4 linked regions of the Coturnix japonica genome follow. The protein of the gene in region 3 interacts with the protein of the main gene of each other region in a pairwise test. Links are inferred from orthologs where the notes say so. Each region holds a gene or a part of one and is shown on either strand. Other genes may lie near its edges.

Evidence for each region.
Region 1: the proteins of TNPO2 (region 3) and APIP interact in binary tests that used the Homo sapiens proteins (3 or more experiments, as listed by UniProt). The two-hybrid records come from large-scale screens. The link is inferred for Coturnix japonica from reciprocal best matches to the Homo sapiens genes TNPO2 and APIP.
Region 2: the proteins of TNPO2 (region 3) and EXOC5 interact in binary tests that used the Homo sapiens proteins (3 or more experiments, as listed by UniProt). The two-hybrid records come from large-scale screens. The link is inferred for Coturnix japonica from reciprocal best matches to the Homo sapiens genes TNPO2 and EXOC5.
Region 4: the proteins of TNPO2 (region 3) and CAMK2D interact in binary tests that used the Homo sapiens proteins (3 or more experiments, as listed by UniProt). The two-hybrid records come from large-scale screens. The link is inferred for Coturnix japonica from reciprocal best matches to the Homo sapiens genes TNPO2 and CAMK2D.

The regions. Positions count from the first base shown.
Region 1 is NC_029520.1:5,994,976-5,999,358, forward strand, and holds the start of APIP (methylthioribulose-1-phosphate dehydratase), read left to right. Parts: upstream 1-1,390; 5' UTR 1,391-1,454; coding exon 1,455-1,502; intron 1,503-1,721; coding exon 1,722-1,822; intron 1,823-2,892; coding exon 2,893-2,941; intron 2,942-3,279; coding exon of another isoform or gene 3,280-3,337; coding exon 3,338-3,455; intron 3,456-3,812; exon of another isoform or gene 3,813-3,894; intron 3,895-4,303; coding exon 4,304-4,383. Other genes in the region: PDHX (pyruvate dehydrogenase protein X component, mitochondrial), read right to left, coding at 1,231-1,369. UniProt on the Homo sapiens protein: Catalyzes the dehydration of methylthioribulose-1-phosphate (MTRu-1-P) into 2,3-diketo-5-methylthiopentyl-1-phosphate (DK-MTP-1-P).
Region 2 is NC_029520.1:50,519,449-50,523,160, forward strand, and holds part of EXOC5 (exocyst complex component 5), read left to right. Parts: intron 1-588; coding exon 589-633; intron 634-732; coding exon 733-873; intron 874-1,953; coding exon 1,954-2,036; intron 2,037-2,482; coding exon 2,483-2,692; intron 2,693-2,947; coding exon 2,948-2,983; intron 2,984-3,712. UniProt on the Homo sapiens protein: Component of the exocyst complex involved in the docking of exocytic vesicles with fusion sites on the plasma membrane.
Region 3 is NW_015439889.1:80,114-84,383, reverse strand, and holds the start of TNPO2 (transportin-2), read right to left. Parts: upstream 2,842-4,270; 5' UTR 2,699-2,841; intron 1,756-2,698; 5' UTR 1,746-1,755; coding exon 1,647-1,745; intron 1,247-1,646; coding exon 1,171-1,246; intron 1,081-1,170; coding exon 931-1,080; intron 846-930; coding exon 739-845; intron 637-738; coding exon 503-636; intron 387-502; coding exon 305-386; intron 216-304; coding exon 93-215; intron 24-92; coding exon 1-23. Other genes in the region: TRIR (telomerase RNA component interacting RNase), read right to left, coding at 3,899-4,006. UniProt on the Homo sapiens protein: Probably functions in nuclear protein import as nuclear transport receptor. Serves as receptor for nuclear localization signals (NLS) in cargo substrates.
Region 4 is NC_029519.1:50,655,141-50,659,326, reverse strand, and holds the start of CAMK2D (calcium/calmodulin-dependent protein kinase type II subunit delta), read right to left. Parts: upstream 2,819-4,186; 5' UTR 2,686-2,818; coding exon 2,618-2,685; intron 2,028-2,617; exon of another isoform or gene 1,998-2,027; coding exon 1,903-1,997; intron 1-1,902. UniProt on the Homo sapiens protein: Calcium/calmodulin-dependent protein kinase involved in the regulation of Ca(2+) homeostatis and excitation-contraction coupling (ECC) in heart by targeting ion channels, transporters and accessory proteins involved in Ca(2+) influx into the myocyte, Ca(2+) release from the sarcoplasmic reticulum (SR), SR Ca(2+) uptake and Na(+) and K(+) channel transport.

The sequences.
Region 1 (4,383 bases), on a different chromosome or scaffold from region 3:
CAGCACAGATAGCACTGTTACACCTTACAAAAGGAAATATGAGTGGCCTGATGAAACAAAGTTTTCCTAAGCCTTGTCAGTATTTCATAATTTGTTTGGCTGGTTGCTTAACTGCAGGCTCTGAAAACAAACAAAAAGTTCAGGAAAGTTATTTTCACAGAGTTTTTTTGAATATACAGATGAGAAAGATAACCAAGACATCTTCCTGCTTTCCCCCCATCTCACCTGTTCTCTGCAGCTGCAGAGCTGCAACACTAATTTGTGTGAATGACACCTAACTTGTCTGAAGTTATTCTCTGAATAACTTGCGCCCTTCACCTGGCTTAGCTTTTGTCAACATGTCTGTGCATTGATTTAGCTCTCAGTGAAAGCTCAACCAAAAAACAGCAGCAATACATACTTGGGTTTTGGTGTACTCTGTTGCGTAACAGACTGGGCTTTATTTCTCATACTAACTTACAGACTGTTTCTTCAATGCTTCTGCAAGATTACAGCTACATCATTTCACACCTTGATTTTTTCATTTTTGTTCCTACATGCTCACTCCTGGTCATTTCACTTGAATTGTGCTCTATGCTTTTTTGCTTCTTCTTTCAAACGCACTGATGAGTTTTCTTGGAAGCTGACCTTTGCTTTCCCTCCTTCCTACGTTACATGCTGCCCTCCTTTTTTCAAATGCTCAGACATTTTCATGCTATTTACTCACTGACAGCTTAACATCTGGATGCTACGGATGTTAACCTTATCATATACGCATAGAAAAACATATTTGGGCCCCTAAAGGAGTAAGAAAACATCATCTAAAATAACACATGCACATGCAGTACTCATTGACAGCTTAACATCTGGATGCTACGGATGTTAACCTTACCATCCCTGATATTATATACACATAGAAAAACATATTTGGGCTCCTAAAGGTGTAAGAAAACATCATCTAAAATAATACATGCACATGCAGTAAGCATAACTTTTTCAAGGTAAAGAACTGAAGATGTGTTCTTTAGAATGTGACACCAAACTAACAGAGGAGCTCAGCATAGCAGCCCTCACTTGGATGAGAAGCCAAGAAGCTGCCTTTGAAATTAAGCACAGCATTTCAGTGCTAAACCCTAAGTTTCAACTTATAGACTCGACCTCAGAGAGCTGTGCATACAGCTCCGGCCCAACAAGGCTCCTTGCCACCTCTCTCCCCACACAGCAGCAGGCCGGCTGCAGCCCAGCACTCACCCAGCAGCTCCTGGGTGCCATGCAGGAGCCTCCATCCTCCCCGTGCGGGCAGGGCCAGCCCAGCACCCAACACCGGCCGCCCGCCTCGCAACAACCTCATCACCCCGGCTCCTCCGCTCCGCCACCAGGAGGCCGCCATCTTGCCTGGCCCTCACTGCAGGGAAGGGGCTGCCCTTAGCGCTGCCTGAACGGAAAAGCCGGCTGCGGGTCGGGGTTACGGTGTCATGGCTGCCGCCGGCGGTGATGGCGTCCAGCTCAACAACGCGGTGCAGGTAACGAGAGGTAGCAGCGCTTAGAACGAGGCAGGATTTAAACCAGGCCTTAGAAAGACGTGTCCTAAAAGAGAAGACATGTCCCCTTGCAATTGAAGTCGTAAATAATAGCGTCATTGCTGAAATATGGCTGTCACCCGTTTAAACTGAGTCTCAGGATTGAAATTCTTAACGTTTTCTGATCGCTTTTCGTTGATCCTTTTTCTGATTTATTTTTAGGATAAGTTACATCCGAGAAATCTTATCCCAGAACTTTGTAGGCTGTTTTATGGTTTAGGCTGGGTAACGGGAACTGGTGGAGGAATCAGCCTGAAATATGGGTAAGTAAAGGTGGAAGAGCAAGAAGCTGTATGATCTTTAAAGGTCCAAAAAATAGTTTTTTTGAAGCACAGCTTTGCTTTTTAACTGTTCATTACCCCCTACTTATACTTTCAAAGCTTCTAATGGAAACAGAACCCCTGCTAGGGACTGCTGAACTAAAAAGAGAAACTTTCACTCCACAAAATACCTTTCAGGGTCTGTCGCTGCCCCATCATGGACACTGTAACTTAAAAGTTACTAATCTCTGATTTTTCTGACGTACATGCAGTGTGTATCAGAAAAAGAAACAACACAGCTGTTAGTAGAGTAGCTTCCAATGTATCTTACATGGTAGGAGTAGTAACCTGAATGATTGTACTCATTTTTATACCTTCATTAGCATAAGGTATGTTTCAGAATGAACAGCTGTGAGGCAGAGCAAGTAGACTAACCTAGACTAACCTGGTTCCATAGGAACAACCGAAGTTCTAGCAGCTCATTCTACCTCACATCCTGATCAACATTACTGACTGCACTGTTCATAGCAACAACTCAAAGTGAAGATGCCAAGATATGGCATAGCATTATTAAAATCAGATCTAGAATTTTTTATCAGCTGTCCTATATTTCACTTCTTCTGAGCCATGAATTTCTTGACAAGAGAGAAAAATATTCAAACATCTCACACTCCTTAAGAGATACACCTGTAACTTGACTAATTATTCACTAGATGTCTCTGTGCTCCCGAATTTAAAGCATTGCTGCTGAAACTAAAGAGTGTTTAAGTACGAGATAGCAGTCTGATTTTCTTTGTTGTTATTGAAAATATTTCAGTTGCCTCCTTAAAATTATTTACATTTAAATCAGTATTTTGATGGATTTTGTTCATGTAAACTATGGAAGAACAAAACAAAACTAAACCAAAAGACAACCCCATCTACCCATGACCACATATGTGGAAGAGCGATAAATTTACTGTCACAGTTTAGTTTTGCTTTTTCTTTTCAAGTGAATGTAGAGCTCTAATGCTCATGCTGTTACAAAGACGTTTGTTTTTTAATAGTTTTACCTATCTTAAATTTTTTTTTAGGAATGAAATCTATATTGCTCCTTCAGGAGTCCAGAAGGAAAGAATACAGGTATGTTTAACTGCATTTCTACCTTAGAGCTCATATTCAGATGGGTAAAATTACCTATGTTTAATGTTTTATTTTTCCTTAGATAAAGTTGGGCTTACAATATGGTCTGCATTCCTGAAATAACTGGATTTCTCCTCTTATTTAAGTACTCAGCTGCCAAGGCAAGCCTATGGCCAGCATAGAATCAAAGAAGACTGAAAGTTACTCTAGATCAGCTTTTCTCTTTTTCTAGATTAAATGGCTTTATAGCTATCTGAGTAGTTTCAGGTTACTGTAGTACACACGTTTTACACTTTAACACCTCTTTTCTGTTTCATAGTTTCATTTTCCTTCTACAGAGGAATATATATGAAACTGTTCAGGCAATCACAGGTCAAAATAATTTCTCTGATACAGCCAGAAGATATGTTTGTTTGTGACATGAACGAGCGGGACATCAGTGGTCCCCCAGCTCACAAGAAACTAAAGAAAAGCCAGTGCACGCCTCTTTTTATGAATGCCTACACTATGAGAGGTATGTAGCAAGTCTTTTTGCTTTACTGTTGACTGAAATGCCGTATATACATTGTCAACAACATTCAAATTCAATACCAGATTCTTTAAATGTAGAAGTCACAGTGAAAAAGACATGAGCCTGTAAAATATAAATAAATTTCTCCAAGCACACATACAATGGAATGTAATCCACAGTAACATCTGTAAGCCTTTTCTACGGCTTCCTACATAACTACACCTGAGATCATTTTCAGCACTGATTTTTACCCCAGTCTATTAATAGGTTGTTGGAGGGAATGGGAAGTCCTTGACACGCCTTGGCTATCATCAAAGGTTCTAAATTTTTACGTGAAAGAAATATGAAGCTTTTCCTTACCTTATAATCACAGTGCCAGTTTGCAGTGGAGCATCCATTTCCTTTTCTTGTGTCAGGGATGCTAAAGAAGGCTCTTCTTTATAAGTTTAGAAATTCTTTAGAATCATGGATACCTGATAAAATTATTACAGTGTTTTAGTTTTTATAGCACATAAGAAAACTATAGAAGGAGTGCTTCTCTTTGCTTTTGTGCAAGTAGTTTTTCTCTTGCAATTTGTCACTAAGTAAAAGTTGACATTGCTGTCCTAAAATACTCTAGAATTATCCTTTATAGGTGTGCAATTATTTCCTACCTTTATTTAGGCTGCTGTGCAATTTTTCTTCTGATACAGTAAATTACTGTTTGCTAAGATGCATAGCCAAAGAAAATCAAATACAGTAACATTTTTTTCTTAATAAATGCCTTTCAAATATTATTTTTTAAAATTGTATATATATGTATATAAAATTAAAATATTAATTTTTTACTATTTTTTTTTTCCTCTTCTTAGGAGCGGGTGCAGTGATACATACCCATTCCAAGGCTGCTGTTATGGCTACCCTTCTTTACCCAGGGAGTGAGTTCACTATT
Region 2 (3,712 bases), on a different chromosome or scaffold from region 3:
AAACAAAACCCAAACCCAACAAAAATCCACCAGCTCATCCTTTAAGTGAAAATATTTGCACAGGCAAATGGTTGTTACCCATATATCTTTTAAAAATACTGAAATGTTCCATCTGAAATCAAATGTAGGTCAATAAAGGAGGCAAATGCCATCCCTGGAGGCATTTGAGGCCAGGCTGGATGTGGCTCTGAGCAGCCTGGTCTGGTGGTTGGTGACCCTGCAAGCAGAAGGGGTTTAAAATTGGATGATCATTGTGGGCCTTTTCAACCCAGGCCATTCTGTGATTCTATGGTGGGGAATCAGAGACATTGTCAATAGAGAACATTCTGAGGGGAATTTTTCTTGAATTGTGTGAGTTGTCATTCGTGCTTGAAGAGCATTAATACCTGTCATGTGCATCCACGGTGAGCTGTGATAAGTGAAGTTCTGCTAGATTTGTGACAAGAATGGACTGGAAAAAGCCTGTGCTTCAGATAAATGTATTTCTTGTGTTAATTTCTTTGCAGGAGTTTTATCTCCTTAATTTCGTTCTGTATAAAAGTCACGGAGAGCCTGGTTTTAAGACTATTTTTTTTCCTCCTTCCACAGGGCTATTCCCATTGTGTTGATGTGTACATAAAACAGTGTCAAGAGGTAATGCGTTTTATGTTTTACACGCATCTCTTTGGGTGTTGATTTCCTTATTCTATAAGTAGTTGTAAATATGCTGTGAAATTGTTTCCACAACCCTAGGGTGCGTTTCTGAGGAATGATGTGTTTGAAGATGCAGCCATTCTCTGCCAGCGAGTGAATAAGCAAGTTGGAGAAGTCTTCAGCAATCCGGAGACTGTGCTAGCCAAACTCATCCAAAACATCTTTGAAGTTAAACTTCAGGTACTTCAAATATTAGTATACTATAGTGATCAAGGAAGCTTTTCATCCATATGTGCTTGAAGTAACAGTTGCTCAGAATTTACAGGATTCATAATCCTGTATAAAGAGGTAGAATTACAGTTGATTGCCGTATAGCGTTTCATACAGATAATCAGACCCACTTCAAATGAAACTACTTGTACTGTGAATACAGCAAGAATGAAAACATTCAAATTCAGTATGTAAAATTAAAAGGGAATCAGTACGTTCATTAGCTAGTTCATGAGATGTCATACGCTTTTGGTTTCTTCTTTATGCCACCTACCCAGAATATGTCAGGAAAAGGAGTTTCACATTTAATAAACATCTTTAACCTGTTCGTAGTTGGAATTGGGTTTCATGTGTGAGGTTAGTAATGAATAAAGGTGTAATAGCCGATGCTTGGAATATTTATATGAACATTTAGAAACATTAGTTGAAAACCCCATTACCCATCCTGAAAATATACTCCCTTAAGTATGTGAAGTCAGCAGTATGCCTATTCATTGCAAAGTGCAATTTCCCAGTCAGTGTTGTTTTCCTTATTATTGATAATATGGAGCAGGGAGACTGAGTTTGTATTTCATTCCCCAATTTGACCATCAGTTTTGACTTAGTATTTTATGGTAAATAATATTTTTTGGCCAAATAGTTGATTACAGGAAGACTCTAAGCTTGTATCTGCATTATGTATGTATTGTAGTTAGCAAATATATAAGTACCTCTTTCTCTTGCTGTCAACTGTAGACCTACCCTTAGGCCTCTAGTGGTTTTGATTCTTTAAGAGTGGGGATCTTGTGTTTGGACTAGCATGTTTTCAAAGCAATCCCTCTTTGCTGTTTGCTTTACCTGCTGCTACTTTGTATTAATAAATCATTTCCTTCAAAACAATGTATTTATCTGTAGAAGACAGAAATTCTGTTGTATCAGAGACTTAAGCAATCCATACAGCCTTTGGGTTAAGGTGTGTGCTTTGAAGTAAATTATATGTATAATCTAACAAGTGAGGATGACCTGAGGTTTGATATCTATTCTTCTAACAGATATACCTAAATTTTACAGAGTTATGTGAAGGACCAACTGGAAGAACACAGGAAATCGGATGCAGAACAGTATCTTAAGAATCTTTACGATCTGTATACAAGGTATATGCATGTAGATGATAAAATTATTGTTGTAGTTATCCTCTTGGAATGAATTGATTAATCATCATCAAGATGTCGGAATATCAGACAAAAAAGTAAACTCCTCGTAAAAATGGGAAAAATTTAATGTCTGTCAAACTTTCCAATGATTAAATTTCTTTAGAAACTTTAAATAGCTGTTATCGTTTTGAATGGGAGGTATTTAACATTGTGATCTTTGAGTGTGATTTTTAAACTGGGTGAAAGCCAGTCCTTCCCTTGATGGCAATTGTGCCATATGTAATCAAACATGAATTATGCAAAGTTCTTTACTTAAGTATAAAGCTGCTAGAAGTTCTAATCATGATCTGGATTCTGTTGTACCATGTACTTTTACAAGCATATAATGCTGTAATTCATACAAATACAACCTTTTCCTCCTCTCCCCTTCTTTGTTTTGCATAAAGAACTACTAATCTTTCAAGCAAATTGATGGAATTTAACTTGGGTACCGATAAGCAGACTTTCTTGTCTAAGCTTATCAAATCCATTTTCATTTCCTACTTGGAGAATTACATTGAGGTGGAAATTGGCTATTTGAAAAGTAGGAGCGCGATGATTCTGCAACGTTATTATGATTCCAAAAACCACCAGAAGAGGTCTATTGGCACTGGAGGGTAAGTTTCTCCTATGAAGTTTCCTACTTCTGAAGTGGAAGGGAGGTGGTAAAGGGAGAAATGTTGTGTTTTTCGTGCCAAATGTACAGTGATGGACTGCAAAAGAGCAGACTTCTAAAGTGACCTACAGCTTTTTATAATTTGCTATCATTTCCTGTTAACTTTCTCTGAAATCTTACATGTGAAGGGTGATGCATGGTGCTTATATACTCATGGAAAATGAAAAATACCAGTTAAACTTATGTTTCAACTTAGGATCCAGACCCACAAAAGGACTGAAGCAAAATTAAGGTACCGAACGCATGTATATGTGTGTATCTAAAAGCATACATTTTTTTTCACCTGCCCAGGTCTTGTGGTCCCCTCCCAAGACCTAGGAAGGGGAAAAGACCATAGCAATGTCAGTGAAAAAGCTCTTAGTGAGCCCAGAAGATGCAATGGACTTAGAGAAAGGTAAAACAAGACTTCATTATCCTCAGGGTAGAGACACTATAAAGGAGTAGGGAGACGTGGGAAAGGAAGAAAGAAAACTTGTGTGAGGAAAAGGTGATGAGACTGTTACACCTCTCAGAGTTACTGGGTTCGGTGTGTCAGGCATGAAGAGTGATTTGGAGAAAACAACAACAACTATAGCAAAGTCATGAGATGAATAAAAGCAAAGATAAAAATTTAATTTTCTTGGGGAAAATTAAATTGATTGCAATGACTGTCCCTATGGGTTGCTTTATGCATGGAAATGTGTCGGAGCATGCTTGAATAAGTCATGACTGCACAGATAGGGATGAGGATGAAAGGATTTGTGGCTGTGGATGAGAGAGGAAGACCTCAGTGTTTTGAAAGTAAAATGTGACAACGTATGGAGGCTGAACTTTGTCCACAGAGCACACGCCCCAGAGGGGGAACAGGTGTTCCCATGGTATGAATGTGCCATGGTAGGACACAGCTGAATGTGGGATCAGAGGTGGTTGTTTTGCATTTACTAGCAATTTTTTTTTAAGCTGTCTTAACTGTCTTAACGCT
Region 3 (4,270 bases):
TCCTGTGTCCGCTGCAGCATATACTGGAGGAGGAGAGGCAACGTCAGCCCCATGAGCTGCTCCAACCCTACCCAACCCCCCTCAAAACCCACCTGGATGATGCTATGCATGTGGGGGATGAGGCGGTCAATGCGGACCTCCAGGAGCATCACCAGAGCTCGGCAGACATTCTTCCTCACCTCGGGGTCCTCATCCACAGCCAGAGCAAAGAGGTGCTATGGGGGGGGGGGGTGGAGGCCACAATGAACACAGCATTCCCCCCTACAGCCCCCTGTCCCCCCACCCAGCCCAGTTTTCCCCCCACCTCAATGAAGGTGTCAATGTTCTCCATCAGTGCCTGAGCACGGTCCATGATGAACTGATTGACACAGGCGATGGCATGGGACCTGTTTGGGGGGGGGAGGGAACAGCTTGTTATGAACTCATTAACTAATGAAGGAGAACTGGGAGGGTTCCTCCTTCAACCCCTCCACACCCAGTTTGGGGGTTTTTCTCCCCAGACCTGATTTTAGGGCTGCAGTGCTTGAAGAACTGCAGGAATTTGGGGATCATGACGTTGAGCGGACGGTTGAGCGCATCGCTGTCCAGGAGCTCTGAGGAATCCTCACAGATCTTCTGCAGCGCCCCAAATGCCCCCTGTGTGCCCATGGAAGAGGGGGGGGGTCAGCACTGCCCCAGGACCCCCCCAGCCCCACACAGACACCCCCCCCCTCCATAGCCCCACGCAGCCTCCCATACCTCACACGTGTTGTAGTCCTCTGAGTTGAGCAGGTTGCAGAGCTGTGGGAGCAGCTCAGGCCACATCTGCAACTCCCCTTTGGAAGCGATGGTGGTGATGAGGATACCTATAAGGCAATCACAGTGAGCTCCAATGTGGGGAGGGGGAGCTCAGGATGGGGGTTTGGGGTGGGTTTTTCCCCTCTTCCTCACCGATGGTGGCACGGATGAGAGAGGAGGCATCACCGATGTTGTTGAGGCATTCCTGCTTGATGAACTCAGCCACAGGGGGGGGGAAACTCTGATAGTGGGCCTTGACGTTGTTCTTTAGGATTAGGCCGCTCAGCGACCGTGTGGGCTCATCTGGGGAAGGGGCAGTGAGTGGGTTTTGGGGTGGGGGGGCTGTGAGTGAGCTCTGTCAGCCCCCCCATTCCCCCCTGGGTGCAAACCCACCTTCAGATTTGAGCCGGGTCAGAACGAAGATCAGGTAGTTGTTGAAGTCAGGGAATTGGTTGAGCTGCTTCAGTTTCTGTGGTGTGGGGTTAAGGATGGGAGCAGGGTAAGATGGAGCAGCGGGGGGGAGAAGGATAAAGATTGGAACACGATGGGGACAGACAGAGATGGGGACAGAAAGATACACAGATTGGGAGAGAAAAGGAGTAGAATGACTGGAGTAAGGAAGGGATGTAAATTGGACAGGGTAGGGAGAGACCGAGGTAGGAAGAAAATGGGACAAGGATGAGGTAAGGGATAGGAATAAGATAATGAATGGGTCAGAACAGGAAGGGGCAAAGACCACAGCAGGTTGGGACAAGGATGGGGTCAGGGACAGAACAAGATGGGGCAGAATGGGGACTATGACCCACATCAGCCCCCCATGCTCCTCTTTCACTCCCCACCCCCCGACCCCATTGCAGCCCCACGGATACGTCCTGCACAATGCGCTGCGTCGCTGTGTTGGGGGACTGCGAGTCCTTCAGCAGCTGCAGGATCTGCTGGAGCCCCTGCTCGTCCGGCTGCCAGTCCATGGCGATGGCCCTGGAGGGAAATTCAGGTGTGGGGGTGGCAAAACTTCCCCCCCCTCCCCCCCCAAATATCAGACACCGAACCACCATGGCAGAATCTCACCTTATTTCCCCTATGCCCACAACCCCTTTATTCACCCCCCACTCTCAAAAAATCCCCCCAGTCCCCGATTAACCCCAATTCTTCCACTCACCGTTTCTTTCAATCCCCCCCAGCACCAAATGGCCCTCTGGAACCTCTTATCCCCTTTCCCCCAATAACCCGCCCCTCCCCGAGTCCCAGAAAGTAACCGCCAACATTCTCGCTCCAATTCCCCACTTCCCAGCCCCACTGCCCCCGAATCTCTCTCTCTCAGTACCTGCACTTCTCCCCTTTTCCCAGGCCCCACTGCCCCCCTACATCTCCATTACGAACGCCAATGAACCTTTTCTCCCACAGGCGTTTGCCCCCTTCCCCCCTCACGCCCAATTAGATCTGTCACGTTACCCCCATTCCCCCTTCCTACTACTCCGCGTTCCCCGTTAACAAACCCCCAAAAGCATCCCCCCCCCATTAAGCCCCACTTCCCAACGAAGCCCCGCGGCCACGCATCTTATAATCCCCCCGGCTGCCCCCCCTTAGGCGCCCAACTCCCCCCGTTCTCCCCCCCCCCTTCGCTCCTCCTCCTCCTTTCCCCCCATCCAAGCCCCTATTTTTCGCCCGCCGGTCCATGCGCCCGGCTTCCCCCCCCGTTAATCCCGTTCACTTTCCCCCCGCGATCGTTCTCCAGGTCCCCCCCAGGGCCTCCGAATTCAGCCCGCCTACATCCAACCCCCTCCCCCCCATTAGGCTCCCCACTCCCCCAAAAAACATGCCCCGTCCCACCCCCACAGATCCCATCCCCCTCCCCCCTCACGCCCCTTCCCCCGCTCCAGGCCCAATTCTCCCTCCTCACGTTCCCGTCTCCTCCTCGTACCTCCCGGGGGTCGCTCCCGAGCCCGGGGTGGGCTCCGGGGCGGAGGGCGGAGCGCGGCCTGCGGGGCACCGGGCGCTGCCCGCGGAGCGCGGCACGCGGGCACTGACCCGCGCCGGCCACCGTATGCCGCACCACGTGACCGCGTGAGAGCGCGAGGGGCTGCGTGCGTGCGTGCTGCGTTGGGGGGCGGGGCCTAGACCGGAAAGTGCGTTGCTGCGCATGCGCGTAGCCCAACCCTCAACTTCCGAACTACATCTCCCAGGGGCCCGTGGGCGCCGCTCGGGCCCAGCCCCTTCCGGTCCCGGAGCTATAGGGGAGCAATGGGAACTGAGGTGTATTGGAAGTAATGGGGGGTGAAGGAAGGGAACTGGGAGCAATGGGGGAGCAGGGAATGGGGGCACGGGTGGGAACCCAGGGGAATTGGAGACATGGGAGAAAGGGATGGGAGAGCAGGAGGGCTCAGAAACGGGGGGCAATGGGGGAGGAGAAGCTCAGGACCATCCCATCCCACCTTCACCCCAACCCCAGTGCTCCAAGAGGATGCGGGCAGCACTTACAGGGGGCACAGTGAGGTTTGGGCAGCATCCCCCACCATCAGAACCACAAAATCACCATCAGAGCCCCAAAATCACCATCAGAACCCCAAAATCACCATCAGAACCCCAAAATCACCATCAGAACCCCAAAAGTACCATCAGAACCCCAAAATCACCACCAGAACCCCAAAATCACCATCAGAACGACCAAAAGTACCATCAGAACCCCAAAAAGTACAACCATAACCCCAAAAAGTACAACCATAACCCCAAAAACAAGAACTTCTGGTGACAGCCGAGGTTCTGAGCTGGGCAGCCCCCACCCCAAAAACACCACCACACTCTAAAACCTCCGAGATCTTTAATGAAGCAACAGCAGCGGCTGCTCCCATCGGCCTCCCCCAATTCTCCACTTCTAACCCCAAAATGGAGCCGGGCAGGGGGAGGGGGAGAACGTGGCAGTGGGGGCCCTGCAGGGGGGGTGAGCGGTGGGCAGGGGGCTGTGCCCCCCACCTCCCCCGAGGCATCGCAGGCGGCAGAGTCCTGGGGTGCGATGGGGATATATATATTTGTACATATAAAAACGCTTGGAAGGAGCTGCCTGCGTCCTTAAATAATTAATTATGTACAGTAATTATGTCCGGGGTGGAGGGGGAGGGGGTGGTTATTTCACCAGGGGCCGCGTTTTGTCGTCATCGCTGCACTGATGTGCTTTGTACTTCTTCACTTCTGCCATGTACTTGGCCCAGGCGTCGCCTTTACTCGTCAAAACCTGAGAAAAGGGGAAAAAAATAATGAGAACTGTAATGGGGGAGAACTGGAAGCACTGGGAGTAATGGGGGTAATGGGGTGCACCAGGACCAACAAACTGGAAACACTAGAGGGGATTGAAAGAGGGGAGCAGTGCAAGAACTTCAATGAGAAATGGGAGCAGAGTGAACAGCCCTGATGGGATGAGGTCGGGTGGACCCTACAATGGCTGTTTGACCCCGTAGATTTGGGAATGGGGCCAAAATCCCAACAGGGAGAGGGATCC
Region 4 (4,186 bases), on a different chromosome or scaffold from region 3:
CTGGCGTAAGCGTGTGACGACATCACCCTGTGTTTAGAAGGGCTGCTAAGGGAAGGATCCAAACAATCTCCAACATCATTTGTGGCTGGAGTGACAATTATTGTTGTATCAAGGCTGACACAGTCAAATAATTTTTCAACTCAAATCATGTTGAGTTCTCCTTTAGATTAACAGCCGTGACTCCTCCCCATCAAAACACTGTAATGGCAACTCTGTCTTGCAAGCAAGAAGGCTCAAATTTGATGTAGTGCTTCAGAGTTACAGACAAGCAGGGTTGTACATGGGATACATGGCAAGCTGAGAACCTCTAACCGCTCACAGATGAAGCTCACCCAATAACCTTCAGATTTACATTATGATCTGTATTTCAGGTGAGAAGCTGGAAACATCAAAGTGAACTGCTACCTCATCATAAAGCAGATCAGACAGGAGGAGAATGAAACTTATAATTTAGATACTACTTGAAATGTAGTCCGAGTTGTAAGCTGCATACTTAGTATCAGTCACGTTAAAGTATCACAGACAGAGGCACTGCAAGTAACACCCTTTTGTAACTGCAGAATTGCTTAAGAGGAATCCCAGGATCTCTGTAAGGAGCTTGCTCTTCAAAAGCTGCTGAGATGTTGTTATTTGTCTTCCAAAAGATAAAAGCTAAAGAACAGCAGTGCATGTAAACTAAAATAATAAAATAAAATCTGGAATCTTTGAAAGCCAAGATGGAAATGGATCCACTGCATTCGTGGACACAGCATCACATTCATTCACATATGGAAGAATATTTCACAGCCCAGTTACCAACCTCGAAAACCCAACTCCTTGCTTTATGGGCCTACACTTCAAACCAACAGAAATTTTTCTTTGCATGAGTTTTGCTACATTCCACCTTGCCAGCCAAATTCTCCCCAGCAGGTCTGGGTGCATCAATGGGCTGCAGTGAGGACCAACTCGGTCCTGCCTGAACAGCCAAGGAAGCACAAAATGAAAGCCTGAAAAACAGCATGTCTCAAATGATGACTTCTAAGGAAGACTACAGAGCTGACACCACTTGCTTATTCACTTTCACATTCTTTACCATATCACAAACTCACATCAAAACACAGGTAGTGTTAACAGAGAATAATCCCTAATCCTCGACATCCTCCTACAATCACTTTGACGTGGGTTTAACAAGGAATTGACATATCTCCATTGAGGCTTGCTGCCGACAGCAGTAACCTACAGCACACACGTGACCACCCAAATGTATCACCACGACTTCCCACTGACAGGCAGAACATAAGGGAAACAAACATGTTACAGTAAAACCTAAGCATGCGGTGCAGCAGGCATTAATGCTGGGCTGGAGCTGTGACACAATGTGTCATTCAGAATGACTTGTGTTCACAAATGGACGCTTCAAAAAAGGAATTTTCCCTTTCCCCGGGATCTCATCACAAAGTTCAGTACAGGAGGGGGCATCACACTCTTCTCCACGGATTCAAATAGGCCTTTTTCACGTTTCAGTTTAAATGCAATGGAAACTTTGAATTCAGAAAAGAAAACACATATTTATGATAAAAGCCGCAATGTCAACTTGTTTCCCAGCCTTCCCCTAAAAAAATCAGAGTGTACAATCCTTTCCAGTTTTTCCAATGTAAAAACGGGAAGAGGATGCACTCATTTAAATCACTTCATAAAGCTTCCCTTTAAGGTACAGCAACACAGCCCTCCATACGGTTAACCTCTGAAACGTTTAGCATAAAAAAGAACCACTGCCTGAAAGGAAATGAAGAAAATTACTGAGAAAATTAATAACCTTAATTCTTATTATTCTGTGCTCCGTTTTAACGCTCGCCACAAGAATGCAAGAAATGAGGAGAAGATATCGTAAACGCTCGGTTGGAATATATGGAATATACCCACCCCTGGCCGAGAGCTTTTTGGTGTTGATGATTTTGGCAGCATACTCCTGTCCTGTGGTGATTTTCATACATCGCCTCACGACCGAGAACGCTCCTCTGCAAGCCAAGAGGGGACAGAGCGTCAGTGCCACCCGAACAGCGCCCTGCCATTACCACCGCGCTGCCACACATCTAAAGGAGCGGAACGATGCCCAAAGAATTAAGGGGGGGAGGGAACGGGATAATAAGAAAAATAAATTGTAAGAAGAAGGGAGGCTTGTCAGAGACGGTCAGCGCTCATTTTAATCAACGCAACAGCAAAACGCTGCTCAGAGCCGCTGTTTCGAGCGGTGCGACCGAAGCGCTCTCCCGGCGGCGGCACGTTGCGGCCCCGGGTCCCCGTGTCCGTGCCAACATGGCGATCGGGGATACGCGCCCCAACGCAGGGGGGCGCCCGACGAACCGGCCGCGGTCGTGTCGGGGGTAGCGAGCTCCGGCTGCCGCCGGCAGGGCAGCCCGGCAGCAGGGCAGCCCGTCACCGCCCGCAGCACCCGCAGGGATTGCCGCCCACCCGGAGCTGTGCTCACGGACCGAGTCTCAGCCTTGAAGCGACGCCCGGGGACGAGGCAGGGCTGCAGGCATCGCCCCGCACACCCCAACCCGCGGGGACGGAGCCCCCCCGACTCTCAGTGTTTCCCTCCTCTCCCCCCTCGTCCCCGGAGCGGCCCCGTACTTACTTGCCGAGCTCCTCGTAGAGCTGGTACTCGTCGGTGAAGCGGGTGCAGGTGGCGGTTGAGGCCATCATGGGGACGGGCGGCCGCCGGTGCCTCCGGCGGCCAGGGGAGGCGAGGCGGCGGAGGGGCTGCGGGGTGGGCGAGGCGATGCGAGGAGCGGCTCCGCGCCGGCTTCTCCTCCCCGCCGCCGCCGCCGCCGCCGCCTCTCGTGTCGGGGCCGCCTCCTCCCCGCCAGGCGGCTCGTCCCCGCGGCGAGTCTCTCCCCTCCCCGCCGCCGCCGCCGCCGCCTCTCGTGTCGGGGCCGCCTCCTCCCCGCCAGGCGGCTCGTCCCCGCGGCGAGTCTCTCCCCTCCCCTCGTCCCCACCCTCTGGGAAAATAAATAAATAAAACGTCGCGGCGGAGAGGCGGCACCGAAAGGGAAAGCAAAACCGGGCCGGGGGGCGCGGCGCGGCAGCCGGCGACGGGGCGCCCCGGCCCTACGTTCTCCCGAGCCCGCGGGCAGCGGGGCCGCCTTGCCTCGCTCCGCGCCGATTCCCGGTGCCGTGCCTCCCCCTAGCGATACGAGCCCAGCGCTCGCGGCCGCCCCGTCGCGGCTCTCTGCCGCCGCCCGTCGGGGCCGCTCTGGCAAGGGGGGCTCCGCGCTCGGGGAACGGCCGCGCGAAGGGCCGATCCGATTCGATCCGCACCCGGCACGGAGGCGGGAGGCGCCGCCGGCCCCGAGGAAACGGATGCACCTGCGGCCCGTTCCTCGGCGACCGCTGACGTCAACAACCGCCCCGCGGGGGCGGGGGGGCGGCCGTGCTCGGGGGCGCGCGCGGCGGCAGCCGGAGGGAAGCGGGACCGCGCGACACCCCCCCCACCTCCTCCTCCTCCTCCTTCTCCTCCTTCTTCTCCTCCCGGGGCTCCGCAGCGCGGGGTGGGCTCGGGGGCTGTGACCTTGGGCTCGGTCCTGCAGCGGGGAAGGGCGGCTCCGCAGCACCGGAGGAGGGTTGGACGACAGCGGGGGTCCCAACACGGAGCGTGCACCGTGCTCGGTTAGAAGGGCTGGGAATGCCGCTGTCGTGTCACTGAGAGCCGTGCTGAGAGTGGGGTAAAGCGGCTGTGTGTGGGAAATGGTGCGGCTGAAGTATCAACGCATCTGGTTTTATAGACATTTCATCCATAAGATTTCTGTCCAAAATATTTAAAGCCAAAGCAGCAGCAGCAGGTGAAGAGCTGCTGATGGTGGTAACGGCAGCATTCTTCACAGTCCGAAGTTGGAAATCATTACAACGTGCCTAAAACCCTTCCCAAATGTGGCTGCTTCCACACCCGCCGCCAAGGCGCACGCTGTTACATGCAGCCATACTCCCAGCCCAGGCCCTGGCATGGCTGCTTGCTCTGTGCTGGGCACACCATGTGCCTTGCTGTGTGTTCCTCTATGCTACACACAATGGTGGTGCGTTAAGGGATGAGTTACGCTAACATCTGTGCAGTGCTCTAAACATATAGCACAGCAGAGATGTCAGCTTGCATTACAGCCAGAGTTGTGCTGTAGCAGGCAGCCTGCAGGATGGGGGAAGGCGAGCAGCT